Linked DNA regions of Astyanax mexicanus. The protein of the gene in region 1 interacts with the protein of each later gene in a pairwise test. Links are inferred from orthologs where the notes say so. Each region holds a gene or a part of one and is shown on either strand. Other genes may lie near its edges. The genes, in order: vacuolar protein sorting-associated protein 52 homolog, golga1, atp6v1d and fam161a.

What was found.
Region 2: the proteins of vacuolar protein sorting-associated protein 52 homolog (region 1) and golga1 interact in binary tests that used the Homo sapiens proteins (3 or more experiments, as listed by UniProt). The two-hybrid records come from large-scale screens. The link is inferred for Astyanax mexicanus from reciprocal best matches to the Homo sapiens genes VPS52 and GOLGA1.
Region 3: the proteins of vacuolar protein sorting-associated protein 52 homolog (region 1) and atp6v1d interact in binary tests that used the Homo sapiens proteins (3 or more experiments, as listed by UniProt). The two-hybrid records come from large-scale screens. The link is inferred for Astyanax mexicanus from reciprocal best matches to the Homo sapiens genes VPS52 and ATP6V1D.
Region 4: the proteins of vacuolar protein sorting-associated protein 52 homolog (region 1) and fam161a interact in binary tests that used the Homo sapiens proteins (3 or more experiments, as listed by UniProt). The link is inferred for Astyanax mexicanus from reciprocal best matches to the Homo sapiens genes VPS52 and FAM161A.

What each region holds. Positions count from the first base shown.
Region 1 is NW_026040044.1:1,818,809-1,827,029, forward strand, and holds the start of vacuolar protein sorting-associated protein 52 homolog, read right to left. Parts: upstream 3,276-8,221; 5' UTR 3,252-3,275; coding exon 3,159-3,251; intron 2,147-3,158; coding exon 2,062-2,146; intron 466-2,061; coding exon 413-465; intron 310-412; coding exon 234-309; intron 1-233. UniProt on the Homo sapiens protein: Acts as a component of the GARP complex that is involved in retrograde transport from early and late endosomes to the trans-Golgi network (TGN).
Region 2 is NC_064419.1:30,653,422-30,660,825, reverse strand, and holds the start of golga1 (golgin subfamily A member 1), read left to right. Parts: upstream 1-4,246; 5' UTR 4,247-4,363; coding exon 4,364-4,397; intron 4,398-6,164; exon of another isoform or gene 6,165-6,364; coding exon 6,365-6,495; intron 6,496-7,404. UniProt on the Homo sapiens protein: Involved in vesicular trafficking at the Golgi apparatus level. Involved in endosome-to-Golgi trafficking. Mechanistically, captures transport vesicles arriving from endosomes via the protein TBC1D23.
Region 3 is NC_064408.1:85,782,141-85,790,231, forward strand, and holds the start of atp6v1d (V-type proton ATPase subunit D), read right to left. Parts: upstream 3,222-8,091; 5' UTR 3,050-3,221; coding exon 3,009-3,049; intron 911-3,008; coding exon 793-910; intron 653-792; coding exon 573-652; intron 479-572; coding exon 411-478; intron 228-410; coding exon 183-227; intron 81-182; coding exon 1-80. UniProt on the Homo sapiens protein: Subunit of the V1 complex of vacuolar(H+)-ATPase (V-ATPase), a multisubunit enzyme composed of a peripheral complex (V1) that hydrolyzes ATP and a membrane integral complex (V0) that translocates protons.
Region 4 is NC_064428.1:33,715,064-33,722,615, reverse strand, and holds the start of fam161a (protein FAM161A), read right to left. Parts: upstream 3,135-7,552; 5' UTR 2,965-3,134; coding exon 2,824-2,964; intron 1-2,823. Other genes in the region: cct4 (T-complex protein 1 subunit delta), read right to left, coding at 4,498-4,512, 5,498-5,611, 6,599-6,833. UniProt on the Homo sapiens protein: Involved in ciliogenesis.

The DNA.
Region 1 (8,221 bases):
TATAAAAATCACAAAACAATACAAACAATAACAAATTATTTGCTACAGTGCTACAATAAGCTAGGCTAGGCTATGCTAGGCTACATGTGTTCTTTGGGTAATTTCAGAGAATAATAATAAAGTATGCAGAGAGAGGTTAGAATAACGGGTGTAGGAATAAGGAATGAGCTGGTCCTGGTGTTGTGATTGGTCGATGTAAATGATAAGGGGTTATAATGATCTGATAAGGATACAGTCTTTGATGGAGGCCTGTTCAATACGCTGTAGCTCCGCCTCCACCTGTTTAGAGTACTGTCTCAGATCCACCCCCTGCACAGATCCCGCCCACAATCAATACAACACATTTACCAATAGATCAATAATCACAATAATACATCATCAAACATAATCAATACATAATAAATAATCTCACCGTTTTCAGAGCCTCCTGCACCAGTTCATCCTCCAGATTAGCCTGAATATGAACTGATCACAAATAAACACATACAGGTTTATTACACCAACATTAACACCAGAGACTCAACATCACACACTGTCTGTCTGTCTGACTGTCTATCTATATATCTGTCTGTCTGTCTATCCATAAATCCATCCGTGTATCCATCCCTCTATGGATCCATAAATTCATCCACCAATTGATCCATCCACCCATCGATTAATTTATCCATCCATCTATGTATCCATCCGTTTATCCATCCACCCACCCATTCATCCATAAATCCATCCACCCATCTATGCCTCTATGGATCCATAAATGTATCCACCAATTTATCCTTCCATCAATCCATCCATCAGTCTATCCATCCATCCGTGTATCCATTTATTTAAACATCTACCCACCCATCCATCCATCCATCCATCCATCCATCATCCATTTATCTATCTGAAATCATGCATACTAAAAACGAGTTTATCCTGTTTCTACTGTCCAGAGAAGAATGTCTACTTGATTCTGGAGGTGAAACACTGCTGTGAGGATTTAACTGCATTCAGCCACAAGAGTTTCAGTTATATAGTTATGTTATATATTTATAGTTATGGAGGCAACATGAAGAGGAGAGATGCATTGCGGTTGAACGAGCTGGTCAGGAGGGGCGGGGCAGTGGTTGGAATGGAGCTGGACTCTCTGGTTACAATAGCTGAGAGAAGGACTTTGGATGAACTGCTTTCTATCATGAACAATGATAGTCACCCACTTCACACCACCATCATGAAGCAGAGGAGTGTGTTCAGTGGCAGACTGCTGTCACAGAGCTGCACAACAGACAGACTCAGAAAATCCTTCATTCCCAGAGCCATCAGACTCTTTAACTCCTCCCATCGGGGACGGGATGCTGCTGCCGACTGAGTTTAACCCAGTCACACCACATGAACATTATTACTCAACCACTTAATTATTTACACTAACACTTCCCCAACCTTGCTTACATTAAAGTATACCTTACTCATGATTGGGTATTCACATTTTCACATTCTCTTTTTAGAACTGTCTTCTAACGTATGCAAATTTATTATATTATATTTCTATGTCACAACAGTCACTTTCGTAATCGATGTCATTGCACATTGCACTTTACTCTGTTAATTATTTAATTAACAATGACCATTAGCAACATCTACTGCACTGCTCCGTTTACAGATAGATCCTTACCTTGCATAGTTAGGTTTTTTATAGTCTTATATATTTTCTATTCTTGTGTTTTGATTTGATTTGTCTGAGTATGTTTCTTATTGTATTGTGTTGTTGCTGCTGGATGCCTAAATTTCCTTCAGGATAAATAAAGTAAGTATCTATCTATCTATCTCTCTATCTCTCTATCTATCTATCTATAGGTCAGGGTGATCACCACCCCATATCCTTATGTTCCTTAATGTATGAAAGGTGCTTTATGAATAAAGTTTATAATTTTATTATTATTATGATAAATAAGCTACAGTTACAGTAGATACAGACTCACGTTTCTGCACATCACCAAGGGGAGTCGAATTTCAGCACAACACCCTTGATCTGGGATTTAAAAGTAGTTTTACTGTAAAACAGCTGGATAAGCAGCTACTTACTGTCCACCTCATCCAGGATGAACTCATCAGTGGTTATATCCAGATCCCCCAGATTCAGAGCTGGAACCAGATCAGAGTCCGGCTTCTGATACAGTCAGAATAAAAACAACAAAACTCAGTACATCAGCTCATTAAACCAGATACTGCATCGTATCGTACCCAATAATATCGCCACCATTGTGAACTATGATATTATATCCTGAAATATGGCGCCATATCACCCACCCCTAATTATCACACCAGGGTTCTACTTTTATACTGTCTTTATCAAAAGAAAAAATAACACTGTTCTTATTTCCCACTATATATCTACTAGAGACTAGAGATTTCTTTTACTTTAATCCTGGATATATGAAGATATTTGGAGTGCATTAATATTATTAGTATCATGATCACTGACTTCTGTTACAAATCTAATGAAAATTTATTGTATTTTTTAATATCTCAGTTATATAATCACATATCATATTACATGCAATAATAACATTTAATTTTCATTTTTTGGCAGTAGTGTATTGTTGAAATATCATGATATTATTTTAGGGCCATATCGCCCACCACTAGTGGAAATCATTATTCAGTTTATTTGGTTGCGCCCATTGCTGACATAGATGTGCAAATACACACACAGCTTGTTTATTTCTGTATTTTTCAGTTTTGCCAATAGATTAGGACTGTCTGGAGCAGACAAATAAATATGAATCTATTGTCTCCATGGTTAATCTAATAACATAAATGGGATACAGAGAAATTATGATGCCTTATATTATGAGGGCTTTTATTATGAAGGGCGTCTGTAGGCCAAAACACAGCTAGGCTAATGATGCAGTGTAATAGATTGATTCGCTATAACAGCTCTGTTACAGCGGAATAAACGCTATAAATCAATAATCAATAATAAGTAGGGTTATTAACTGAGTTTATAACAGTAATACAGATCAGTATCAGTTATAAACCCGCTGTACTGAAGCCCAGCTCAGACCAAACCGCCGCCAGAACCCCGTCAGCACTCCGGTACCGATCCCACGAACCCCCGAACACCCGCCCACAGCGCGGTACCGACCCGAAACCCCCCGCTAACATTAACCAGCCGGTACCTCCTCCTGCAGATAAGCCATAGCGGCGCTCCCGGTTCCGCCCGCCGGGGTTAAATCAGCCGCAGCCCCGCCGGAGACCAACACCTCCGCCATTACTACTGACACACTGAAAACTACAACTCCCAGAAACACTACAACTCACCGTAAAAAACCTGCAACTTCTATAAAAAAACTACAACTCCCGTTAAAAACAACTACAACTATAACTTCAACAGTTATAAAAAAACTACATTTCACAATGAAAAAATCTACAACTCAACGTATAAAAAACTACAAATCCCACATTAAAAACTACAACTCACATAAAAAACCTACAACTTACCACCCCGTGTCACTCCCCGATCTGTACCCCCTGCCCGATTTGTGCCGCGCATGCGCACTGCACACTGAGCAGGGGGCGCAGATCGGGCAGCCACGGCTGTCAACAGTTGTCGGCGCTGTGAGATCGCTGATCAAGCTTAACTTCCGTTTTCTGAATTCTAGATAGACAGATAGGTGTTTAAAATAATTAAAAATCGAAAATAATCTGTTAAAATGTGTGAGCCTGCTGTGTTTTTATTTATTTTTTGTTACATATACCAAGTCTGTAAATTACTTCACATTTAAAAATTCTTTTTATTCTTAAAATACACAGCAAATTATTATAAATAACAGGTACAACACATTCATCAAAATATCAGTTTATTTTACTCTCAGAAAAAGCATGAGAGCGAACCCATATCTCTCTCAACACACACACACACACACACACACACACACACACACACACACACACACACACACACACACACACTTTCCTTGCCCATTCCTTCGTTGTGGTTGTATGTATGTGTAGTTATTAGACATTTTGTGTACAGCACTTTGGGCAGTGGAAGCTGTGTAAAGAGTGCTTTATAAATAAAGCTTACTTACTTACTTACTTACTTACTTGGAGGATGGCGTGAATGCTGAATTTAACGAAAATGTACTCTGCACAGCTCTGTAAAACTTAAAATCCTTAATTTTGACACCACAGTGTACGAGCTGTTTGCGACAGTGTGGGCGGAAGTACACCTTGGCATTACCTACCCGATCTGTGCCCCTGCTCATCTCACTCAGTTTGCAGTGCGCAGGCAGGGGGTACAGATCGGGGAGTGACACGCACTACATCCACCATCTTACCTCTGACGCCCTTTCACCTCTCACCCCTCTCTACCAGCGGCACACTTTACAGAGCTTTACCCTAATTAATTTCATTAAAATCCCCTCATTAAAATCCCCTCACTCTTATTAATAAATAAACCCCCAAACTGTCCTATTTAATAAGCACTGACTGTAAATAAAACTTAAAATTAATATTTCCTCAAATATGAAATATTTAATAATAAATATAAACAGCTTGTTTAATATTCATGAAGTATATTAATAACATTTGCGTATGCAACAAAACAAATATCATAAAGTTTCAAAGATAAATACCAAAATGTTAATGAATTCCTTCCTTACCATTTCACCTCAAAATTCCCTTTTCTAGCATAAATATTTAAACACGTGATCCTTATTATTATACATTATCTTTTACTGACAGCATTAAACATGAAGGGCAACATATATACATTACTGATGTAAATAAAATATGCTACCAAATAAATAAATAAAATAAATTCCCCACAAAATACAAGAATGAAAAGTCTTTTAAGTGGTTCTTCATCTTCATCCTCTCTCTACTGGCAGGATAGTTGAATCTGAAACACACACAGATTAAGTAAGTTTAGCTTGGGCATTAAACAAATAATATACATTCTGAACAACACAAAAGTCTAACCATCCTGGGGTACGTTTCCCAAAAGCAGTGCAGGCCACGTGTTTGATTGGTCTAATACCTGGCCACGGTGGTGTTGGTGAACTGGTTTAACTGGGGTCAGTGTTAATGTGTATTATTATTATCCCGCCGCGGGCTCGCGGGGGAATTTTGAACGCGCTCCGGTCCAACGCGGGTAAAGCGCCGTGCTTTAACGGACGGAGGATTTAGCCTATCATAAACGCTGTTTCTGCAGATCAGACGTTCACTGAGACCATTTCTAGAACCGGATTGGATGGAACCTGTAGATATTCGGTCGCTATTCGTCAGACAGACTTGTAGGCGGGCTTCTTCTTCTCGGCGTAATGGCCTAGTGAAGCGCTAGCGGCTATGCTAACCGCTGACCCGCGCAAATAAAGTGCAGATAAAGTCCAGTATTTAATAATCACTCTAAACCAGAACTCTAAAGGTATTCGGTGGTTAGGATATTTTCAGAGTGTATTTCTATTGTAAAAATATTTGCACCGCTGAGGGCGGTGCTGAGGTTTATGCGCAGATTCATAATAAGGTATTTGCATATTCTGCCTAGTAACCGCTCATGTCCTCACTCCTGTGGTGAAAAACTTTTTTGCTAACTCTGCAGCTGATTGGTTAAGTCTCAGTTTGAAGTGATGACCCGCATCTGGACGACATCTAGAGGCTAAACACTCGAACTGCTGCTCTCTAACTACTGCAGAAACTATGGTCCTCAGTTCACCGGGGCTTTTACCCGGTCCCCACATATACGCAATTGTAGGAAGGTATGTGTGTGTGTGTGTGTATAGTGTGTGTGTGTGTATAGTGTGTGTGTGTGTATAGTGTGTGTGTGTGTATAGTATGTGTGTGTATAGTATGTGTGTGTATAGTGTGTGTGTGTGTTTGTGTGTATAGTGTGTGTGTGTATAGTGTGTGTGTGTGTATAGTATGTGTGTGTATAGTATGTGTGTGTATAGTATGTGTGTGTATAGTGTGTGTGTGTGTATAGTGTGTGTGTGTGTATAGTGTGTGTGTGTGTAAAGTGTGTGTGTGTGTGTGTATAGTGTGTGTGTGTGTGTATAGTGTGTGTGTGTGTATAGTGTGTGTGTGTGTATAGTATGTGTGTGTATAGTATGTGTGTGTATAGTGTGTGTGTGTGTTTGTGTGTATAGTGTGTGTGTGTATAGTGTGTGTGTGTGTATAGTATGTGTGTGTATAGTATGTGTGTGTATAGTATGTGTGTGTATAGTATGTGTGTGTATAGTGTGTGTGTGTGTATAGTGTGTGTGTGTGTAAAGTGTGTGTGTGTGTATAGTGTGTGTGTGTGTATAGTGTGTGTGTGTATAGTATGTGTGTGTATAGTGTGTGTGTGTGTATAGTGTGTGTGTGTGTAAAGTGTGTGTGTGTGTGTGTATAGTGTGTGTGTGTGTGTATAGTATGTGTGTGTATAGTATGTGTGTGTATAGTGTGTGTGTGTGTGTATAGTGTGTGTGTGTGTGTATAGTATGTGTGTATATAGTGTGTGTGTGTGTGTGTGTGTGTAAAGTGTGTGTGTGTATAGTGTGTGTGTGTGTGTGTGTGTATAGTGTGTGTGTGTGTATAGTATGTGTGTGTATAGTATGTGTGTGTGTGTGTGTATAGTGTGTGTATAGTGTGTGTGTGTGTGTGTAAAGTGTGTGTGTATAGTGTGTGTGTGTGTATAGTGTGTGTGTGTATAGTATGTGTGTGTATAGTATGTGTGTGTGTGTGTGTATAGTGTGTGTATAGTGTGTGTGTGTGTGTAAAGTGTGTGTGTGTGTGTGTATAGTGTGTGTGTGTATAGTATGTGTGTGTATAGTGTGTGTGTGTATAGTGTGTGTGTGTGTGTGTGTGTGTGTGTGTGTGTGTATAGTGTGTGTGTGTGTATAGTGTGTGTGTGTGTGTGTATAGTGTGTGTGTGTGTGTATAGTGTGTGTGTGTGTGTGTGTATAGTGTGTGTGTGTATAGTATGTGTGTGTATAGTGTGTGTGTGTATAGTGTGTGTGTGTGTGTGTGTGTGTGTGTATAGTGTGTGTGTGTGTATAGTGTGTGTGTGTGTGTGTGTATAGTGTGTGTGTGTATAGTATGTGTGTGTATAGTGTGTGTGTGTATAGTGTGTGTGTGTGTGTGTGTGTGTGTGTATAGTGTGTGTGTGTGTATAGTGTGTGTGTGTGTGTGTGTATAGTGTGTGTGTGTATAGTATGTGTGTGTATAGTGTGTGTGTGTATAGTGTGTGTGTGTATAGTATGTGTGTGTATAGTGTGTGTGTGTGTGTGTGTATAGTGTGTGTGTGTATAGTATGTGTGTGTATAGTGTGTGTGTGTATAGTGTGTGTGTGTGTGTGTGTGTGTGTGTATAGTGTGTGTGTGTGTATAGTGTGTGTGTGTGTGTGTGTATAGTGTGTGTGTGTATAGTATGTGTGTGTATAGTGTGTGTGTGTATAGTGTGTGTGTGTATAGTATGTGTGTGTATAGTGTGTGTGTGTATAGTGTGTGTGTGTATAGTGTGTGTGTGTGTGTGTGTGTATAGTGTGTGTGTGTATAGTATGTGTGTGTATAGTGTGTGTGTGTATAGTGTGTGTGTGTATAGTGTGTGTGTGTGTGTGTGTATAGTGTGTGTGTGTATAGTATGTGTGTGTATAGTGTGTGTGTGTATAGTGTGTGTGTGTATAGTGTGTGTGTGTGTGTGTGTATAGTGTGTGTGTGTATAGTATGTGTGTGTATAGTGTGTGTGTGTATAGTGTGTGTGTGTATAGTGTGTGTGTGTGTGTGTGTATATTTCTGGGTTAATATTGGATAATGCTGAAGAGTGTGGGGCTGCAGGTTTTATATTGTAGTGATTCAGTACTGGTATTATTCTAGCTGTATTATAATTAATATTATTATTATGTTTAGTTATTTAAGGAGACTGAGGCCGGTGGAAGAGCATGTAGAGGCATTTACAGACATAATTACTGAGTAAACTACAGGGAGGTAATGTGTAGATTGGTACTTTTGGTGGGGCTATTAGCATTAGCCTTAGCATTAAAATTGCTACTGAGCTGTTTAGGCTAATGTGGATTTGGGGTTATTTTTATGTGTATTAATATAAATGTTTGTCTCTTCATAGGAATCATATGGTGTAGCCACTGTTTTTACCATATCTGTTTATGCTTGTATTTTATTTTATTTGACATTTCAGACTCTAAAGGATATTTTGATCTAATATAATAATGTTCTGCTCCTTGTAATGCTAATGAAATATTAATGCT
Region 2 (7,404 bases), on another chromosome or scaffold:
ACACAATAGAAATAAAGACTATGACATAGTAAGTTGCAGAAAGAACTGCTTTTTATGAATGCTTTATAAGTGGTAATCATTTTTTTTATTCTTTCATCAAACAGTCATCATTTATATAAAAAACAATTAAAATAACTCAAGATTTTGTATCAGTATATTTTTTACCAATTATATGTAAGTTTCTCACTTTATCTTCAAATATTTCCGTTTTATTCCCATTAACTCAAGTTAATAGCCATAATAAAATGTCAAACAAATTTACAACCCTAATTCTTACTTACAAAATGATAGCATACAAATAATTATTTTAATATACACTGAGTTTTAACAACAAATAAAATTTAATATTTTAAATGTCATCGTGTGTTATGTGTCTTATGAATGGTGTTTACTGGACAAACTCCAACTGAGCTGTTTTGTAACCAAAGGCAAATTTCCATTTCAGGCTAATGCAATGATAAACTTACTTATTGACTATTTGATGCTTTTTATATGCTTATGTCACTTATTTGCCAAACGGTATAATCACTAGCTGAGTAAAACATTTTGCAGGTTTCTATTTTAGGACATTTCTGTTTAGTTAAATAAAGTGTTCCTTCCATTATTGTTATATCAAAGGAATGGTTTTATAGGAACATATCCTACTGCAAGCTGTCCCATTCTCTTCCAGCTTCCAGCAGCTTCAAATGTACAAATGCATGGTAATCATATTTCTGTGCTCTAAACTAACCCAGCTGTGGGGTTTTATGGCTGTGGTTTAAAGTTGATGATTTATGAGAAGGACATATGAGTTTGAATATGTTATTTTAAGTGGTTGTGTTGGTGGTTGTGGTTTTTACCCTGAGGCCTCAATAACCTCAGCTGTTGGGTTAAATCATTGTGTATTCAGTGTACAGTTTTCAGGCGCCATCTGGTGGTTGACATAGTATCTACTTTAGAGTGCAGCGCTTAGGCCAGTGTTTTTTTTTTGCTTATATCACTGTCTATTCCACTGCCTGGTAAAAAAAAAAAAGTCTCCACCTGGATTTAACTAAACAAATGATGTGGTGTTGCTGAATTTGATCAGGTGTAGGTTCAGCAACAGTATGTGCTGAAGGAATGAGGACAGATGACTACCTGAATATACTGAATATAGACCAGATCACTCCATAAATGGATTTTTTCTTCCCTAATGGCACGGGCATATTCCAAGATGACAATGTCAGGATTCATGGGGCTGGAATTGTGAAATAGTGCAGAGTTCAGGGAGCATGAGATCATCATTTTTTTACACTTGGATTGTTCATCACAGAGTCCAGACCTTAACCATATTGAGAATCTTTGGGATGTGCTGGAGAAGGCTTTGTGCAGTGGTCAGACTCCACCATCATTAATGCAAGAAATTAATGCAACACTGGATTGAAATTAATCTTGTGACATTGCAGAAGCTTATCAAAACAATGCCATGATGAATGTGTGCCACAACAAAAGCTAAAGGCGGTCCAACAAAATATTAGAGTGTGTGATCTTTTTTTTTTGGTGGCAACCAAATCTTTGATGGTCAAGGTGGTTAAAAAGCTGATCATTCATGTAAAAACACACTATATTGCTGGTATGATAACTGATTAATCATTCTTATGTTAGATTAGAATCTGCTAAGGCTTGGTTATGCTGATCATCAGCTTGGGCTTGCTGGTCATGTAGAGCTAAGTTAGCCAATTAGAAAGATGTCCTGTGGTATCTGGTCCTGGTAGCTGATATCTGACATCAGCAGATCCATAGTCCATAGTCTGGATCTGCTGATATGGAACCAGTTTATCAATGCTATTCACTTTACCTGTCAGTGGTTTAATGTTATGATTGATTTATGCAATTACAAATCAATCATATTAACTTGTGGCCTAAAGGAAAATGTCACTAAGGTGGTGGTTGGTTTTACAGTCGTGGCTTGCCATCTAATGGTCCCAAATGATTATAAGAACAGCATTAATACAGAATTTAAGTTGTTTTAGGATATTTCACAATTATAAACCAGATTTGCTGCACTAAATGCAACATCTATGGTAGAACTATGGCCCTGAAAGGAGATGCTTCCTGATCTGTTTTCTACAAAATACAGTATAATATCATAATCTTCTATTTCGGTGTGCGCTGTGTTTTCAGCTCTGCTGTTCTGACTCATTGTGTTCACTGTAGGAACGGCTGCAGAAACCTGATTTGCATCTGATAATAGAGAGTAAGCTCAGATTGTCCAGATTTGTCTGGACTGATTTTGAGCACTGTGAGCTCTCGTTACTAATTACTGCTCTGATCAGAACACTATATAGAAAATGTAAGTTCATGTGGGGAATGTTAAAGCCTTTCTCAGATCTATATTACTGCTCGTGTTTTTAGACATCTGATACAGTATATACTATAATACAGTGTACACAATAATATGCACTTTATATCATCAAGCTTGTTTTGAATATATGTGCATAGATCTGGTATACATATGTAAGTATTACATAATTATGTAATATATATAATTATGTATATAATACACATATTTGTATATTTATATTTTACATAAATATTTTAAATTAACATATAAGATGTTTTAATTATAGCATACTTTAGATATGTAGGAAAATATATATATCCCTTGTTTGTTGTAAAAGGACCAATAGAAATGCTCCAATATTACATTGACTTCCACTGAAAATTAGACACATTTTGTCTTGTACTGTAAGTTGACATTTTGGAGGTACAATGTTTTTTATGTAATAGTGGTGACCCAGATAGCAAAAGGACATCGGAATTCAATGTTCATTTTTCTATCGCTAATACGTTAAAACAATGTTGATCTCTGACCACAGAATTTATTTATTTTTTGCACATCGATTTTACATTGATTCAACATTATTTTTAAAGTTATGTTTTTTTACTTACATTAAATATGTATACAATATTTATTTTCTATTTGTATAGCATGCCCTGTGATTGGTAGGAAGCACCTTTCACCTAAAAGCAAGGTGAGTGTAGAAGATCTTAGCCCAACCTTTCAAAACCTTCTAAATCAATGTCAAAATTTTAACATTAACTGATACCTATTAGGCAATGTTAAATAAAGATTAATTTAAGGATATCGTTCCATAATCAACCTTAATATACATATAATGCAACCAGTAAACTTTTATTCTTTGCTATCAGGGAATGTTTCATAACATACTGTTAAACATGTGTGTTACATATATATGAAACACAACTGATTGTTTAGATCATTTGATTTTGATAATGGCTTATGTTAACAGTATGTATTTTTTTGCAATTTTAATAACAGGGCTTAGTTAGGGCTTGTCCCCAATTGGTAGGTGATGTAAAGTTTACTTTTCATTAATAAAGGTTGTAGGCATTAAATATTGGATAGTTGTTTAGTCTTATTATTGAGTTTTATTGAGTTTGTTTAGTCTGCATTTTGAATTGTAGTTGGCAAAATAGCAAAGCTCATAAAGCTATTTAGAAATGCATTACAATTTGAGGCTGTTAAAATGTTAACTGTTATATTAACAAAAACATATATCAAATACATTTAAAAACGATCAATTTCAAATGAGCTGTCATCTATATCACACTTATTAAAGCAATACATTACAAACATATTATGTGTATATAGAGGGACTCCATGTTTTCTGTGGAGTATATATCATATTGTTTAAATAATTGCAGTGGGAGCGTTTTCACCGTTGTCAATGTTTTCTGCCTAACGTCTCAGAAACGTTTTCTCAGTTCTCAATTTCTCAGTGAAACACGTGGAACTGAATGACTTTCTATGTAGGGCACACTCAATGCAATGCTCATTAAACTGTCCCGTATCGTTTAAATGTTTAATACGCGTGTAGCGGGATGAATTATGCAGAGTGTGTACTGTAACAAGACCAGTGGCCAGCAGGCAACAAGTGCGCATGACTAAAGAACAAGGGCACGAGCTGACTCTGCGAGACATTACAAACCTTATCAAAACGATCTGAGGATAAAGGTGAATGAGCTATGGTGACCCACTGCACATGGAATAAGCTGACTTTTGGAGTAAACGGCATTTTTATCTAGGAATTAGAAATCTAGTCTACGACTAATAGTGCACAAATAACAAGTGTGCACTAAGTAGTGTACGACAGCAGCGCGTCCTGTGCCCAGCAGGCAGTGAGGCGACTCTCTTGCCCCGCCTCTTTCTAATATTCACCAATCAGAGCAGACAGTGGCCCTGGGCACGTCACGCCGAAAGTGGTGACGTGGTGAAGTTGGTTAGCAAATACAGCCGAGACAGCAGCGACGAGTAAATGAGAATTCGAGCTTCTCTGCGGCTCCGAACGAGATAAAATAACCTCTAACTGACGGACTATGGATGTTAGTTGTGTTTCTGTTGAATGGAGTTAAAGGTAAAGGGTTTGGGCTCTGTGTGTGTGATACGGAGATGCTAACTGAAGCCAATAAAGCAATAAGGACGCTAACCTAGCTTTAGCTTAGCTAGCTAGCATTAGCTTAACCGAGCAGCTGAGATGGTCTGACGACCTTAATAATCCTTCTAATAAACCTGACAACCTTTTATTTTATCTCTCTTAAAGTTATTTAAGCCTTCTTTGTCGCCTAACAAATGAATTAAGCTGTATATCACGACTGTTCTATAGTTAAAGCAATAAGCAGGTAGGTTAGCTACTTAGCTAACTAGCATTGTGAGCTATTGGTTTCTCTGAGTATGTCTAGGTTGGGTTAATACAGCACAGTCAGTCTCAGTCAGGTTTGTGTTTGTCTGCTGTTTTTATCAGTTCAGTGCCAAACTGCCTTCAGTCTGTCTCATTTATAAATCACTGGAGTCAGATTTGAGCTGACCTGCCTGCTGTCACGTCAAGTAAACATTATGTTGGCCTTTGTTAAGCCTTACATTTGGCAAGGCAAGTTGCTGAATAAGCTGTAATCAACAATTTGTAAATTAAAGGTGTTCTTCTGCAATATTGTCAGTTTTGCTGCATATTAGAAGTGTTATGTACAGTGTTAGAAAGAATTTGACACTTATAGAGTCCCTAAGGTGTCAAAAGTAATATTTAGAGATGTAAACACTTGCATAAATTTAACAAATCGTTCAGTTCAGTTTAGAGGGAATGCTTTAGTTAAACTGGGAAAACAAGTATTAAATCAATTCTCAATTTTTTTAGGGAAGCAATGATGTGGGAAATATGGGCAAATATCTGATTTGTCATTGTACAGATATATAACTTACAGAGAGACTAGACACCCTGGTATAACTTTATAACTTATAACTACCAGCGTTGCTTGCTACAGTTATAATATCAGCAATTATCAGTTTGTAATGTCAGGCAATAACAATATAATTCAGATATCATCATGCACCCCTAGTTTCTTAATTTAGGAATTTAGGAATGATAATATAAATTTGATAGGATAGTTCAGGAAAAAAGATTGTTTTTATTTCCTTTATTTTGTACTAATACCTTTTTGGGTTTGTGGCTCTGTTTCAAATTAAATTTTATTATTTTATATGTTTTCAGGTAATTATTAGTTAAAAATTTCATCTTGCATCTCTAATCGAAATTAAGTGATGTTGATTCACACTATATTGCCACATTTATTTGCTCACCTGCAATGCATTTGTTGATGCAAGGCTTTGATGGAGCAGTGCGACCATGGAAACTAATTCTATTAGGCTCTCTATCCTCTACTGTTCTTAAGCAAATTGGAAGGCAACATGGATTTTGGAGGTCTGTAGTGATTGACTCTGGTGGAGAAAGTTGGTGACCTCTACACACTATGCTTCTCAGTGTCTGCTGACTCCACTCTGTCATTTTATGTTGGCTTTCTCAGTCATTTCCCATTTGTTGTAATATTACTTAAATTTCACTGTGGAACACTTAGTTGTGAATTTTTTTTATGACCGGACTTGTTGCTTAGGTGCTGCATCCTAACACAGTACTATGCTGGAGTTCACTGAGTGACCCATTTTTTCACTAATGTTTGTAGAAGTAGTCTGCCTGCCTAGGTGCTTGATTTTATACACCTGCGATCATGGAAGTGATTGGTTTGAGTTCAGTAATTTAAATAGGTCAGCAAATACTTTTGGCAATATAGTGTAAAAGCTTACATTCACATTTAGATTTCTTGGTTTAATGTGACAAAAATCTGTTTTCTAGGCTGTATGGGACATGCTAAATCCAATTGCACAGTTGTAAATTCAGTGCATATGAAGTTTATATATATTGTGTCTTGCAGAAGAGAAAATCTGACAACAGACAGCGATGAAACAGCTGCATCCTGCATGTGAAGCACCTTAAAGAACGTTGATCTGTGGGAGAAGCCCAGAAGGATTGTTTTTTTTTGGACTTGCACACAGCAGTAATGTTTGCGAAGCTAAAGAAGAAGATAGCAGAGGAGGCGGCTACCGGTCCTCGCACTGGACGCATGCCACGATCCATGAGCAAAGAGTCCATCACCTCGGTGGGAGCAGACTCTGGGGATGACTTTGTGAGTAAATCTCCTCTTTATCTCTTTCTTCCTTTCCCTCTCCCATGTCTTTTAGTCTTCCCTCTCCCATGTCTTTTAGTCCCTTAACTGCAAAAGCACAGTAATTTTAGAACTGTGAGTTATCAGTTCAGACAGACTCAATAATTTACAACTAATACTTAAAAAGTTTCAATATTGTCACATAAAAACCTTCCAAAATAGCCTGTACTGCAGAAAGAAAAAAACCCTTTTAACTTCAAAATTAAGTCTATTTAAAAAAGATTACAAGTCGTTTTGGACTTTCTGACATAATGTAAATAAAACTGGCAGATTATATCAAACGGTATGGATACACCAAATATTTAGCAACTAAAATGATTTGGCAAAAATACAGATTCCATTTTGGCTGAATAAGTGTAAAGACAAAATCATTTCTAATCAACAATTATGTTTTTGATGACGCAATCAAATGCAGCCAACATGTTTTTGATCTTTGGCTAAATGTTTGGTTCATTTGGTTCATTCTCATTGATTTGTGTGTGATGGCAACAAAATAAATCTTTCTTACTGTATTCTTTAAATGTAGATAATGTGTGGTTAACCCCCATATAAATCCATGCAGTAAAACAGTGCTGGACACTGTATGACAATATGACACTAAATCAATATCACAAGCAGTTGGATAATTTTACCTTTAACAATTCATGTACGAAAGACATAAATAGCTTTTTCTCTGGTTACAAGCTGATTGAGTTGCTAATTTTGGCTTAGTGTTTGAGCTCTCTATGTTGAAGGTTAAGGGGGCAGTAAATATGGGTGTAAGGGCTGGTGGCCGACCGAGGCACCCTCCGGGGCATTGGAGGGCGCGCCAGGCCAGCGCCGAGGGTTAATTGGCTAATTGCCAACACCTGCTTTCAACACCTTATAAGC
Region 3 (8,091 bases), on another chromosome or scaffold:
CAGCTCTACAGCTTTAGCGTAGTTTCTCTTCAGCCTGGACAGCTGCTCTCCACCTCTGGCCAGACCAGTCAGTTCATAACCTATAGAGTGTGTGAAATGTGAACATTTGATGTTTGTGATGTGGTTCAATTATTGTATGCACTGTAATTTGTGTGAGACCATATAATTTTATCCAAACTTACTGTCTCCTCCCTCCTGGTAGTGCTCAAACACAGGCAGAGTCACACCTGGGGGGCAAATGAAGCAAAATACAGTTAGGGCCGTTATTCATGCATAAAAAAATAATACAAACATTTTAAAATCTGCTGAAAAACATTTAAGTTAACAAAACTAAAACTAGTTGAGGTTTGAACTTAATAATTCCTTGGCAATTTCTCAGTGAAGCAAATTTAAATGAAGTTTATTCAGACCTGCAACATTGTCCTTTTTGGCTCGAACCTTGACCTGGGCCTTGTTCACATTCTGGATAACCGTAGTGCTGAGACAAACACACATCCATGAGCTCAGGAGTCAAACTTACTTTCACAAACACATTATCATTAACATTAAATATAAGCGCAAGCTGCTCATACCTAAAGTCACCAGCAGCAAATTTGGCTTCAGCTAAAGAAAAAGCAGCTTCTCTCATCACTTCTCCCATCAGCGTCTTGGTCTAAGAAACAAAGGGAAACAGGGTAAGCAATGAAAAAATATTTACAGCTATTTACATTTTTTCTCACATTATTACATGTTTACAGCATGACATACTCATTAATATAAGCATTTAAAATATTTATTTTCTCATGTTTCTACCTCAATGATCTTCCTGAGAATCTGCCGGAAACGCATGGAAAGGGCGTCAGCTTTTTTCTTCAGCAGGTTCCTCCCTGTCTGAGCTCCTTTCAGTCGAGCCTTCATAATGGTCTGAGCCCTAAAACCATCGACACAAACAGTCATTAATTATACAATTAAAAATACAGTGTGCAACAACAGTCATTTGCTTTTGTGTTCATGAGTTTAAGAGGAACTTGCTTAGTCAGACTTGTTCACAGTGGTGGTGAATGGAACAAAATGCTTAAAGAGTTTTATGTGTTTAAAAGCTCCCCCTCAGAAATTATTATGAATTCGTCATTTGATGTCTAGACACTGTTTATCAACAGTTAAAGAGTTTATTGGACTGTGTTGCAGTAAATATACACTTGGTGATCTCAAATTAATCCCTACAAAATACTCCATTTCCATCTTTAACATTACATATACAGCTAAGAGGACGTGCACAGAATCACTGGTGGTTGCAGACAGTAAATAAAAGGACTATATTTTCTGTATTCACATGGTTACCCCCCAGTTCCTAACACCACCACGAAATCAGCATCAATGCACTTCTCTACAATAAACAATTTTAAACCAAAACAAACTCTTTTTCACCCTGTTTATTTTATATATAAATTGACATTTAAGCTACAATGTAGTAAATACAAATAAAAAAAAACTAATATTAATGAGAATGTTCTGCACATGGTACTGGACTTGTAGTATCAGGTCCACTACAACCCTACTGACTAGACTTGTCACAATAATTACATTATTAACTTATCTTACAGTAAATGGACATGACCTCAATAATATTTTATAATAGTGATATTGTATATTGTGCTTATTTGTATGTTTGTTCACAGTAAACAGTATATTTGCCAGTTTCCATGCTTCAATGACCAATGCTTCAAAAACAGTGACACCACATACACACTGTGGACTGTGTTAGGTAACTAAAAAAGTAAATACACTGCCAGGCCAAAAAAAATGATGTGGGGTTGATGCTGCAGTTGGTCAGGTTTAGGTTTAGCAACAGTTTGTGCTGAAAGAACGAGGTCAGCTGACTACCTGAATATACTGAATATAGACCAGCTTATTCCATCAATCGTTTTTTTCTTCCCTGATGACACGGCCATATTCCAAGATGACAATGTCAGGATTCACTGTTCTGGAATTGTGAAAGTGTGATTCAGGAATCATGAGCTCATTATTTTTACACATGGATTCCAGAGTCCAGATCTGAACCTCATTGAGAATCTTTGGGATGTGCTGGAGAAGACTTTGAGCAGCGGTCAGACGATACCATCATCAATACATCAATAAAAGATCTTGAAGAAAAATTAATGCAACACTGGATGGAAATAAATCTTGTGACATTGCAGAAGATTAATGCAAAAATGCCACAGTGAACGTGTGCCGCAATCAAAGCTAAAGGCGGTCCAACAAAATATTAGTGTGTGTGACCTTTTTTTTTTTTTTTACCCCAAACTATGACTACTTACAATTGTATTGTCTTCAAAAGAATATGAATGCTTCGTTATGCTATTCTAGTATCATTATGTCAGTGTCATTTAAATGGTTTTAAAATGACAATAATATTGGTTATCACAATAATGACAACTACAACTACCCTTTAAGCTCTTCAGCTTCAAACCCTTTCCCCCCTGTGGATGTTCCTCTATGGCCAGAGCCTCACATCACATGATCCTGAATAATACACTTCTGTTTTTCTGTGGGGAGTTATTTCAAACACTGTTCTTATAGTCTAAATTCTGAAAATACAATATTTTAACACACCCTTTAGAGGGACTGTATACACGTATTTAATCTGCACAAAAATATTTTTTATTTGCACAATTACCCTCAGAGAGTCTTATAATGACCTTGCTGGTGGTCCTTAGAATACCACTGTAGAATAAACACACTGCAGACTGGTCCTTTATTCTATTTATATGGCTAGTTGACTGCTACAGTGTAGTAAAATAATACAAAAATAATAATAATGTGTGTGTAACGTTAATCAATGGTCAGTTTTATATTTAGATCAACCCCAGCATTAATAACATTCAGCACAGTTATTATAGTTTAATTATTAGATATTAGAGTATATTGGAGTCTAAACAGTAAATTAAAGGTTATGTTATGTTGATTAATTCGTGTCCTGTAGTCTGTATCTCTAACAGCACAGCACAGCTCTCTCTCGCTTTACTCACATCCTCGAAGGGAAAATGTCGATCCGGTCTTTGCCCGACATCTCGTCGTTTTCCTCCTGATCCCGGCGGGTCTGTGTGTTTATAAAGCGGGGTTTTCTGCTCGACCTGTGGCCTGTTCTGTTCGCATGTAGGTTTTATTCGCAGGAACGCGGCGCTCGGCTTCACTGTTTCACTGAAAATCACATTACAGCTCACAGCGGGTCATGTGACTCACGACCAGCGGCCTTCAGCAAAACACTAAACACAACCTATGATCATTATCATTATTAAAACATAGCTTGGGTTTATTTTACGATTTAATGTAGCAGTAAGCTTTCTTATTAACACAGATTGATCGATTCATAATATATATATAATATATATTTAAAACAGTACAGTTTTACCTAAACTTTTATTTTGAAGTGTGTGTAACCGATAGCTGTAAGGGCAGAGGCGGCTTATGGAGGAACTGCACACTTCCTGTATATCGCCTCTGTTATTTGTCAGTGAACCACTGTAACCACCGCTAGAGGGAGCCCGCGAGTGAGTCCAAAATGAATAGAAGTGAATTGAGCTAAATTGCTAAAACCTTCAATTAAAAATAGTAAATAATATGAATGAAAAACAACTTATAGTGATGTTTAATTTGTCTAGGCTATTAACAATTTGGTACAGTCACCGGTTATAAACAATACAAAACATATAAAGTGTTCACTTATCATGTGTGTAGGTCACATTTCTTCATGACATTTTTTTGTGTTATTATTTTGTGAAGATATAATTATGCATGGATACATATGCATGTGACTGTGTTATTCATAGATACAGGTGATGCATATTATATATGTTTATGTATATGAGCATTTTATATACATCTTTATGCTATGTTTTGTGTACAGACTTCCCAAGTCTTCTGAAAGTGGCGGGAGTCTACCGCATATCAATAACGGCGTGAACACAAACGTGCACGCAGGCAACACAGTTTTTTTCCCCAATCAGGTGTGTAAAAGAGAGGGAGAAAGAGAGAAAGGCGCTGCCCTCCTTGGCATATTCATTAAGGGCATGCAAAACAGAGAAAGTTTTAGTGATATGGATCTACGTATATATTGCTTTAGGGGGCAGGATTAAAAGGGCCTATTGTTTAAACTTTAAACATGCAGTCAACCATTTAATTAAAATCAAAGTAATTAGTGCACTTGCTTCTTTTAAACATACTTATTAAATGTATCTTCCTTGTAGAAAATCAAATAAAGCTGCCTGAGATTGACCAATATATGTTTTATTAGATCCAGAGTTGAAAAAGGATAAAAAATTAAGTTTACTTTGGAAACAGTAGGATTAAAATGACTTGTTTCTTCTAATTTTGTCTTTCAAAGAAAATCTATAAATAAAACAAAAAAGTAACTAATGCAGGGTATTCTTTTAATTTATGAAAGTATAAAGATGCATTTTGCTATATGTATACCTGTCCATTTATCTACAGTACACTGGTTTTAGGCAGTTAATGCGCTAGCATTACTGTTACTGTCTTCTGACTGGTTGGTGGGCTGATGCTGGAGTTACAGTCAGAGTCAGAGACAGTTTTAAAAGGTTTATATCTACAGTTTTAAGTATTTGATATCCTTGTCTTCGTTTGAAAAATGTTAGATATTGTTTCAGTTTTCAGTATAACGGTGATTAAACATTTATAAACTATAACGTTAACTGTTAAATTGCTCCATATAAGCCCATTCATTTTGAACTCGCTCTGGAGCGCCCTCTGGTGGCCCGACAAACGCGGTGTTTTTTAATAGAAATTTCTTAATTGATTTTATTTATACTGACTGTTAATAGAACTAATGATTATACATTTACTGTAAAACCTAGCTAGCTAGCTGGGTCACGTTGCATTTATTTGTCAAATTTGTAGCGTTCCTCGTAAAAATATATATTTTTTTTCCTTCAGGTTATTTTATTACCGCTGGTACCTTAAAAACACCAATTTAATTGTGTTTCATTATTAACATTGTAAAAATATTGTTTATTTGCATGATGTGCAGGAAAAAAAAACTAAATAAAAATCACTGTCCTCTGCATGAAAGAGTATTGGAATAGATGATTTTAAGAATCGACCTCTGCTGATGCATTTTGTCTGTGTGTCAAAACATTGCGATAAATACAGTGTATAATAAAAATATCATATAATATTTTACACCTATAACTGTGTGATTCTATATACTTCAGGCAGTGGCATTCATACTGTTCAGAATTTTATATAAAGTGATATTAAGATTTGTTGTGATAGAGATATGGACGTTTTGTCCAGCATTTAATTTGTATTACTTTTATAGCAATTAGGTGTGAAATTGGCCAGTGGATATGTTGTCCATGCTGTAACTAGTAAGGATGTGGTGTATAAACCACATGAGGATCCTGTAATCTGATATTTGATGTAATATTTCAAATTGTGATTATTTTTATTATTATTTTATTAGTGTTTGTATGTAACTGTTTATTTTTATTTATTAATATAAAAACACAAATATTTAAAAAATGAAAACTTTTATTAAGGACTTTTATGTTGAAGTTACTTCGCGCGGCGCCATGATGTAACTCTCTCTCTGTGCTGTGGATCCATGGCGAACTCCTGATTTACGGAGCCTTTTCTCATCAAAATTTACAATTACCGCCCAGAAACAGACTCTAGACTAACCGCGCTCCCGGGGACGACTCGCTTCAGGTAACACCACTCTCTGGAACTCGCGGCGGGCCGGTTTTATTCAGTATTTATTTATCTAGAAGCAGAAATGTGTTATCTAGCCGAGCTATCTGCTGAACCGCATGGGCTCAATGAGACTGAGTGGTGCAGCTCAGCTCAGCCACTGATACAATAACAGATCTATGGGTATCATTAGATACCTATACATATCACCAGCTTCAGAGACAGAATACAGTACAGCTGGACTAACTAACCCATCTAACTAGACTCGACTGAACCGGTTCTGTAGTTTAACTCTGGTTTAATACTGAACAGCAGCTCCACCCTGTATGAGGGTTATTTAGTTAACTAGGCTCTATTGATTGTAATATCTTATTATTAGACCATTAAACCCAGTTTCACAGGATTATCATCTGAGGATTTGCCTGGATACTAACGCCAGGTTGTAGGTATTTATCCTGCTAGCTTGTGAATTAAGTGAGAAAGTATTTTCAGGTCTTGAAACTCAAAATGCAGTACCAATTCCAACGTCAAAATCATGTTTTTCCACATCATTCCTGATCTACTAGTCAGTGTAATTAGCACTAGTGAGACAATTATTCATTAAAGTTCACACTACATTATTAGTCAGTAATTTCCAGCCCATTTCTCCAATTCATTTATGATTAACCCATTATAGAACCCAGACCCATTTCTGAATATTGATACCAATCAGATAAATTCAGTAAGAAGCTCATTCTTGTTTAGTTTTCTTTTTTTATTATTATTACTGTGGGTGCATGACTGTAAATATTTTAAGATTAAAACCATGATGTAACTTAAATGACACAACAACAATTTCATTACTTGTATGGTTAAAGTGGAGCTGTAAAAGCAAAAACACACATTTTAAATAAGAGAGGTTTATCTCCAGCAGCAGCACTTCTGCGTTCTGTAAATAAGTCCAGATAAACAAACACACTTCCACACACTGTCCTGTGATGCTTTCAGAATGATCAGTATATGCCAGAGGTTCTTCATGAGATAAAATGATTGAGAAAGTACTGTAAGGGACTTAACTCATCTTTTAAATGGTCTGTGACACACACATCACTATGGGCTTATTTGGGTTATCAGACTCGTAAACCCAGTTTCACAGGATAAACATCTGAAGATTTGCCTGGGACGTAAAGCCGTGTTTTTTTAGTAGTAATCCTGGTAACTTGTGAATTAAGTAAGAAATGATTTTAAAATCTTAAAACTCAAATGGGCTTGGGTTCCAAACCCAGTAGTAATTTCAGTGTCAAAATCATGTAAAATCCCACATCATTCCTGATCAACAGATCAGTGTAACAATTAGTATTACTAAGCCATTGCTAACCATGGGGCAATTAGCATAATTATTCAACTTCAATGTCAGTGTTCATAATGACATTGAAAGTGTATGTGAATAATGATTAACTTATATTATTGATTTTATTGTATTGTGATACATTCACTCATCATGTATGCTTTAATAAGCATAATAAAGGATGCTGTTGGTGCCTTAAAAACACACATTTAACTGTTTCATTGCAAGCATTGTAAAAAATGTTATTTGGATGATGTGCAGGAAAACTGAATAAATATCACTGTACTGTGCATGAAAGAGTATTTGAATAGATTTTTTTCAGAATCTACCACTGCGGATAAATTTTGTCTGTGTCAAAACATTGGGATAAATACAGTGCATCATTAAAAAAAGTCTTTAAATATCATATAAAACTGATATTTAGAGTTATTAAGATGGTTATTAAAGTTGTATTGTCCAGCACTCATATTACTATTGTAGCAATGAGGTATGTTATTGGCCAGTGAATATGTTGTTCATGCTCTAAAACAGGGATGGGCAACTTCCATGATGGAGAGGGCCACATTTTTTTCAGCATGACCATTGGAGGGCCACATGACCTCGCACTTCAAATAATTGAATATGAAAAACACTACAAATGATTTTCAATAAGAACAAATTTTATATGAACTTATATCTGTATGTTTACAGCACCAACATTTATCAACAACTATTTTCTGCATATTAATGCATTTTAATACGGCAAAAGACAAACCGTTTGCTTAAAAAAAGTGCAAAAAAGAAGTTTGCTTAAAAAACCGATTGCAAATACAGTAGTTCCTCTGTGTAAAATAAGTTCATTATAACAAGTCCTTCATAAGCAACAAGGACAAAACATTTGCTTATAAATGTGCAAAAGGCATTTGAACTCATTTATAACAAAGAACAAAAAAGATTTAAAAACTGATTGCAAATAGCTCATTCAATAATAGCAGAAAACTAGACCACAGAGGCCCAACATTTATTGAAGCTAATGAGAGAGCTGTGGTTTGGCCTGCTGGCTCACAATGGACTGGATGTCAATGTCAATTTTCGTG
Region 4 (7,552 bases), on another chromosome or scaffold:
TATTTCTTAATGATTAATATCATGAGTTCTTATATCAGTGTAAACGGGGGGTGGGCGACAGTGACCTCTATAATAATATTCTTGTTAATATGACAAAATAAACACTGAAATATATGTAATTTCAAGATTATACTACTACAGCAAAAATGTATGTTTGACAAGTTTGTTTTTGTATAAATAGAACAATTGTAAACATCCAGTAGAAATAAAAAGAGTAAGCATTTGTCTATTTTGTTAATAACAGTAAATTTCCAAAAACTCTACCACACAAAACTGTGCAAAAAAGTATGCAAACATTAACAATTTGGGTGATTTTTGCTGATCTGTGATATACTGTATAAAGGATATTAAGCGTATACACACAAATTTACAACAGATTTTGCTAGAAGTCTATGATCCAGCATGCCATTTTATTAATAATGCACTCTGTGAATCCACAAATAAAGTAAAATTAATTATAACAGGTAGATTTTTCATGGGAAATAAAAGTGAGTAATAGCATTATGTGACATTACACACATTGGGATGGCAATTCTAAAACAACAACCATGCAGCCCTGTTAACAATTACACAAAAATACCAATAAATCATCACAGTAAATAGCTAATTTAATACAATATAGACAGCTTTTAAACTTAATTATTGCAGATAAAAATAGAATATAACAGAATATGGAACATCCCTATTATGAACACTATATAAACAACAAGAGTGATCTTTGTATTATAGTATTTTAATATTTGTGTTTTACTGCATACGTAAACTTGTACTGTTTTTTTTATTTCATTTTAAACATTTACACAGTAATGTATATACAGTTTGCAGTGTGTTTTAGTGAATGTGCTCTGGTCTGGTGTGTGAGGCGTGTGCTGTATTATAGTGCACAGGCTCTGAGGAGATGGTAAGCTCATTATCTGCTGGTCTGTTTACTGGGAGCAGCAGATGGCAGATTGAGTGTCCTTCAGTAAAGACAAGCCACCAAACAATAGCTTCACATCTAACAGGTGATAAAGGCCATCCTTATTCACCACAGCCTGAGTTTAGGAGAATAAATAAAGCTTTATATGGGAATAAAATAAGTGTTTGCAAAAATAAAGAACATTTAATAGCTTAGTATCTGTTTCTAGAGTTAATATGTATTAGAAAGGATTAAATTGTGGATGAGGGATGGAGTGAAGGAGACTGGAACTGGAACAAAGGGCAGGTACGTTAAGCTAACAGTTGCTCATCTCTAGTATATTATTTATTCCTTTATTGATCATTTGTTATGTGGGCTCTGAGTGGATTTGTATACCATTTCTCCCAAATTCCAAATAGAAATATCGTCATTTAGAGCATTTATTTATTTGCAGAAAATGAGAAATGGCTGAAATAACCAAAAGAAGATGCAGAGCTTTCAGACTTCAAACAATGCAAAGAAAACACGTTCATATTTATAACGTTTTAAGAATTCAGAAATAATCAACATTTAATGGAATAATCCTGTTTTTTAATCACAGTTTTTTTTCATGCATCTTGGCATCATGTTCTCTCCTCCACCACCAGTCTTACACACTGCTTTTGGCTAACTTTATGCTGCTTTACTCCTGGTGCAAAAAATCAAGCAGTTCAGTTTGGTTTGATGGCTTGTGATCATCCATCTTCCTCTTAATTATATTCCAGAGGTTTTCAATTTGGTAAAATCAAAGAAACTCATCATTTTTAAGTGCTCTCTACCCATACAGGCCCTATGTGGATATGTAATTTGGGAATATTAATAGCCATTCTTTATTAAAAGGCTAAACTGCAGTTTAATCACTGTATATTGCAAAAAAAGGGCAGAAATAATAGTCTGATTTCCTTTATGACATGGATTTATTGTCACAATAACTTTTATGTTTGGACAGTAGATTACCATAAATAATATTATTTTCATTTCAAAACTGTTGATTACACAAATTTTGTAGCGTCAAGATAGCATAGCAATGCACAATGCACACTTCTAAAAACACTATGAACTCTTAATTAAAGAAATACTCATGCAGTACTACCCAAAGTTTTGGACACACCTTAAATTGAGTGTTTTTAGTTTTTTGTCCAGACTATGAAGGAACATATAAGGAATCATGTAGTAACTTAAAAGTGTTAAACAAACCAAAATACTCTGTATCTGGGAGCTGTTAACTTTTTGCGGTTTCTGAGGCTGGTAACTCTGAAAATTTTGCTCTTCCTTTCCTGTGGCGGTCCTGATGAGTACCACTTCCATCATACGAAGTGTTTTATGGTTTTTGTACAGCAAAGAAAACTCTTGCTCCTCCTTTTCTGTGGTGGTCCTGATGAGTACCAGTTCCATCATTACAAAGGTTTTGATGTTTTTTGCATTGACTGCACTTGAGGATACTTTTAAAGTTCTTGAAATTCTTTTTTTCAGATTGACTGACCATCATTTCTTCTTAGATTCATTTTTTTCTTTACTTAGTTGAGTAGTTCTTCTCATAATCTGGATTAGAACATTACTCTAATAGAGCTATTATTCACTGTATACCTGTAACTCTACCTCTTCACTACAGCTGATGCTCTCAAACAAAAGAGGCAAGAAATTCAACGAATTAACTTGCAAAATGCAAAAATGTTCATACTGTCATCTAAGAAAGAGGTGCTACTTTGAAGAATCTAAAATATAAAACATATTCTGGTTTGTTTAACACTTTTTTTCTAAATTAAATAATCCCATGAGTGTTTAGTATTAATCTACAATGTAGATTATTTTAAAATGATGTAAAAACACTGAATTTCGGGTATTTTAAGTTAGCTCTATAGTTAGATTAATTAAAGTTTACTCGCCTCTTTCTCATAGTGTCGGTTATCCGGGCGGCGGGCTGCGTTCTCCCGCTCGTACAGAGCCACGGGGGCTTTAGTGTGGGGGTCCACGGGGGTCTTCAGACACGAGGTCACCAGCACGTTCGCGCGGTGAGAGCGTTCCATGCTGCCCCTGCCCCGGGGATCCGGCTCCGCTCCTCCCCGCTCCGACCTCCGGCTCCGTCAGCGGCTCCTCCGCTCCAGCTCAGCCCGGGAAGAGACGCCCTGCAGCGGTCACCAGGCAACAAGCACCGCCCCCCCCTCACTGACTACCAGCTTCTGCAGGCCACGCCCATGTAAAGTCCAAGCCATGCCCGCTCCGTAAACCACAACGTATTTTCATGTGGCGGAGGGATATACAGATACTACAGAGTGCTGTGAGGGAAAATAGTTCCTAAAGAAAAGGCATCTTTAATACATATTTTACATATAATACAATATAATACTTATACAAAATGACAATATATGTGGACAAAACGTTCTAAATTCCAATTATTTATATATACATATATAGCTATAAAACAGATAAAATATTTTGCTATTTATAGGTTTATGTTTTAGTAAAATGAACATTGTTGTTTTATTCTATAAACTACAGACATTTCTCCCAAATTACAAATAAAAATATTTTAGTCATTTAGAGCATTTATTTACAGAAAATGAGAAATGGCTGAAATAACAATACAAAAGATGCAGGGCTTTCAGACCTCAAATAATGCAAAGAAAACAAGTTCATATTTATAAAGTTCAGAAATCAATATTTGGTGGAATAACCCTGTTTTTTAAATCATAGTTTTCATGCATCTTGGCATCATGTTCTCCTCCACCAGTCTCACACACTGCTTTTGCATTACTTTATGCTGCTTTACTCCTGCTGCAAAAAATTCAAGCAGATCAGTCTGGGTTGATGGCTTGTGATCATCCATCTTCCATCATCCATTATTTTCGAGGTTTTCAAATTGGTAAAATCTAAGGAACTTATGTTTGGCAGGAGCTGCAAAAATATATAAATGCTAAATGCTTGTGTCCCCTATCTTTTTCATGTTTTTAATATTAATCTACAACCTTTTGACTAGTGCTGTATAAATATGAAGAGCTTGATTTTTTTTTAAATACTGTTAAGAACAGTTTTTTTCAGATAATCAACAAAAAGAATAAAGAATAAGATATTCGATAAGCAAATACTTGATAATTTTTTTCTAACATCACAGAAATCAAACACCAGCAAACCTGATAAACAAACCTGATTTAATATGTTTGGCCAGAGTCCTGCTGACAGAATTAACTAAAGGGATTATCCCTAATAACCTGTACAACACCAACAGCAGTTCCAAACCAGTATAGCATTGTGCTAAATGTCACACTAAAAACAAAATTGAATGAATTCTGGTCATTTATCCTTTTCCATAAATATCATTTGCAAGCCTTCCAAAATGTATGTAAAAAATGGATATATGTTGTTAAGGTGCAAATGAAAGCCAGAGAGACAGGCTGAAGTTTCCAACAAAAAAGGCTTTATTAAATTACGCAACGTAACATCTACAGACAGCTCTTCAACAGTTGGTCTGAGCGAAGTGTTTGTGAGGTCCCCACATCCTTCTGCAGCGCGCCAGACAAAAGGAGTGCTCCATTTCCCTTCAGTGCAAACGAGCAAACACCTTATCGGGTGTTTACCTGTGGAAAAAGATAGAAAAAAAAAACAAATACGTATATGAGCTTTTTAAACAGCAGTTACTCTCCTAACACCCCTAAAAACTACCTTCCACTCCCAGAGTAGGAGCATCTCTCACTACCTTCAAGAACTTCCTAAAGACCAAGCTCTTCAAAGAGCACTTACTCTGCAAACACCTCTAACAAAATTATGCTCATTTCCTCATCTCTATCCCACTATGGTCTCCTAAAACGTTTTTGCCTTGGGCCCAAGCCCATTTAGGTGGGGGTGTCCAGATTCTTGTTAGGCTGGAGGGGGAGGTTAGCCCTTCAAAATCGAGATTTTTAAGATGCACACTTCAAACCGAGGGATAGGAGAATCACTGGTAATAAACCCAGAGATGTAAATATTTTACCAGTGAAAAGTGAAGATTAGCACTATATTACCAGAGCTTAAAGTGTAGTTTCAATGTTTTATGGCCAAATTATTTATAACATGCATAAAAATATCGCTAGTAGTTTGTCTCAGATGGCAGCTAGCTAGCTAACTTTCCCGTTCCACCTTACATGGTGCAACAGCCAGCAGGAAGATAAATAAAAGAAAGATAAAAAAAAGGAAGATAAAGGCTAATCAAAGCTAAATTCATCTCCCCAGAGGAATTAAGAAATGGACAATAATAATAATTAATTTCTGAACCATATTCCCCTTTTTCTGAAGATATACAATAAAGCCCAAAAATGAGCTAGTTAGCAGCTAGGTTACTGAACTTTAGCATTCCTGATGAAGCATCGGGTGATTTAAAGGGTTATCCTAATTCTTAGGAACTCTGTTTTTAAAGGGAAAGGGTTACACTCAAAAACAAGGGGTAGGGGTAAGTGGTAGTGGTAAGTGAAATGGGATTGGGCCTACATCTTCTGTTGCTAAAGGTACAACAATTAATTTGCTTTGGATAAAAGAGTCTGCTAAAAGTAATGCAATGAAATATTCAGAATTTATATTGCTACTTACAACATCGTCGATCTTGAGGATGCTGCGGACCGTTTCTGTGGCGAGGGTGAGGGCACTGATCGAGACCAGCAGCGGCTGAACCACCAACTCCTCCAAAATATTAGAGATTCCACCCTGAGAGAGCGAGAAACCGTGTTAGATCAGCATGAAGAATTTCCAACAAGCATATTTTTGTCTTTTTATGTCTCTCGGTAAGCAATTCACAATTACGAACACAAGCATGAACACGGTAAATCAATATACATGTACATTACAAAAATATAAAAAGTTTGTGTGATTTTACCCTTAACTTTTTAAACTAATTAACAACTAGTATTTTTATTCACCCATGTACACATACTGACAAATACAGTAAATTGTATATCCGTTCATCCATGGATATTTTTGTATATCCAAGACTATTAAACATGGTGGTGAACCACATGACACCTCAGATCAGAACATCAGTACTGGATCATGCCTTTCATTGTACATTTAAACCCCTAAAAAGTATTTAAATTTAGTTTGATAAAGGTATCACACTCCAGAATTGCTTTTATATATTTTTTTATTGTTTATGTTTTAATCAATGAAAGAGTAAAACAGGACTTGATCTAACATCTGTTTATCAGGGTTTATACACGTTTTAACCAATTAACTTGATTTTTTTTCATGACTTTTCATGGCCTTCATTGCAAACTTTCATGCCTATACGATTTTAAAAACATCAGTGCAGACATGGACAAATAAAACTAAAAGTCAACTAAAACTATAATTAAAATGATACAATTTAGTAGGTCTAAAATGATTCTGATAAAATGTTGACACACAATCTTTAATAATAAAATGTGTGTCAGATCCTGAGAGCTCCATTGTTTAGAGGCTAAATTACTGATTTAAGGGATTTTTTAACAGATTTTTTAAATAGATTTTCTCCATCAATAAACTAAAACTTGAAAAGATTTGTAGAGCAAATTTCTATAACTTTTCCAAAATTTTCTGGTTATTTTTATTTTTCTAAAATTTCTCCAGCCCTAGAAATGACTATTTTTAAATTCCTTGACGTTTCCAGGATTTTCATGACCGTAAGAACCCTGGTTTACTGTATTAACTCAGGCCCACCTTGCGGACGTTGATGCCGGCGGTCTTCTCTCCCTGGGCATGTCGGTTGCGGAGCTCGGTGACGGTGGAGATGGGGTTGAGGCCGGCGTTCTCGGCCAGCGTGGAGGGGATGACCTCCAGGGCGTCAGCGTACGCACGCACACAGTAAGCCTCCATACCACCCAGAGAGCGGGCGAACTCCGCCAGCCGCAGAGCCAGCTCGATCTCAGGAGCACCACCGCCCGCGATCAGAGCCCTGCAGCACCACACACACAACACAGACAGGCGTAGGAGTTTAATAGACTTTTAATACTCAAGACCATCACAGATACACTACTGAACATCAGGGGTGTGAGAAAATATCAATGGGAAGATGCAATTAATTTTTATAAACACAGTATGGATCTGTGGTTTAGGAGAATGAGACATTGTAGATATATATTAAATAGATATTAATAGATATTAAAACAGTACGTTTTCCAGGCCTAAACTAAAATACACTATTATTACTGTATCGCTGCCAAATATACAGGAAAACACAAGCATTAAAAAAAAAAAAGAATTAATAATCATGATTAATAAGAGATTGTTGTTTATTTCAGAAAAGATGCTTATTTAAAAGGAAATGGTGTACTTGGCCATTTAGTACTTTTAGTAGTTTATTTTAAGATGAAAATTGTATGCTTTGATACCCTTGTTTCAAAAATAATTAACTAACACTAATGAAAATCTTAACTTTCTATGGTATTAACTATATATATATATATATATATCTTTGGGTAAATTCTTTGGAGTGCCTGTGGATATATATCAAATTTTTATTTAGAATTTTGAAAAACTGACCATTTAAATCAGGAGTTTTAGAGCAAAACAAGCACCCAAAAACATGCAGGAGCATGAGGAATAAATGAGGAAAGAAAATAAAAAACAAAACACGATTTTATTAAGTTTACAAAAAATATAAAATTTTTACAT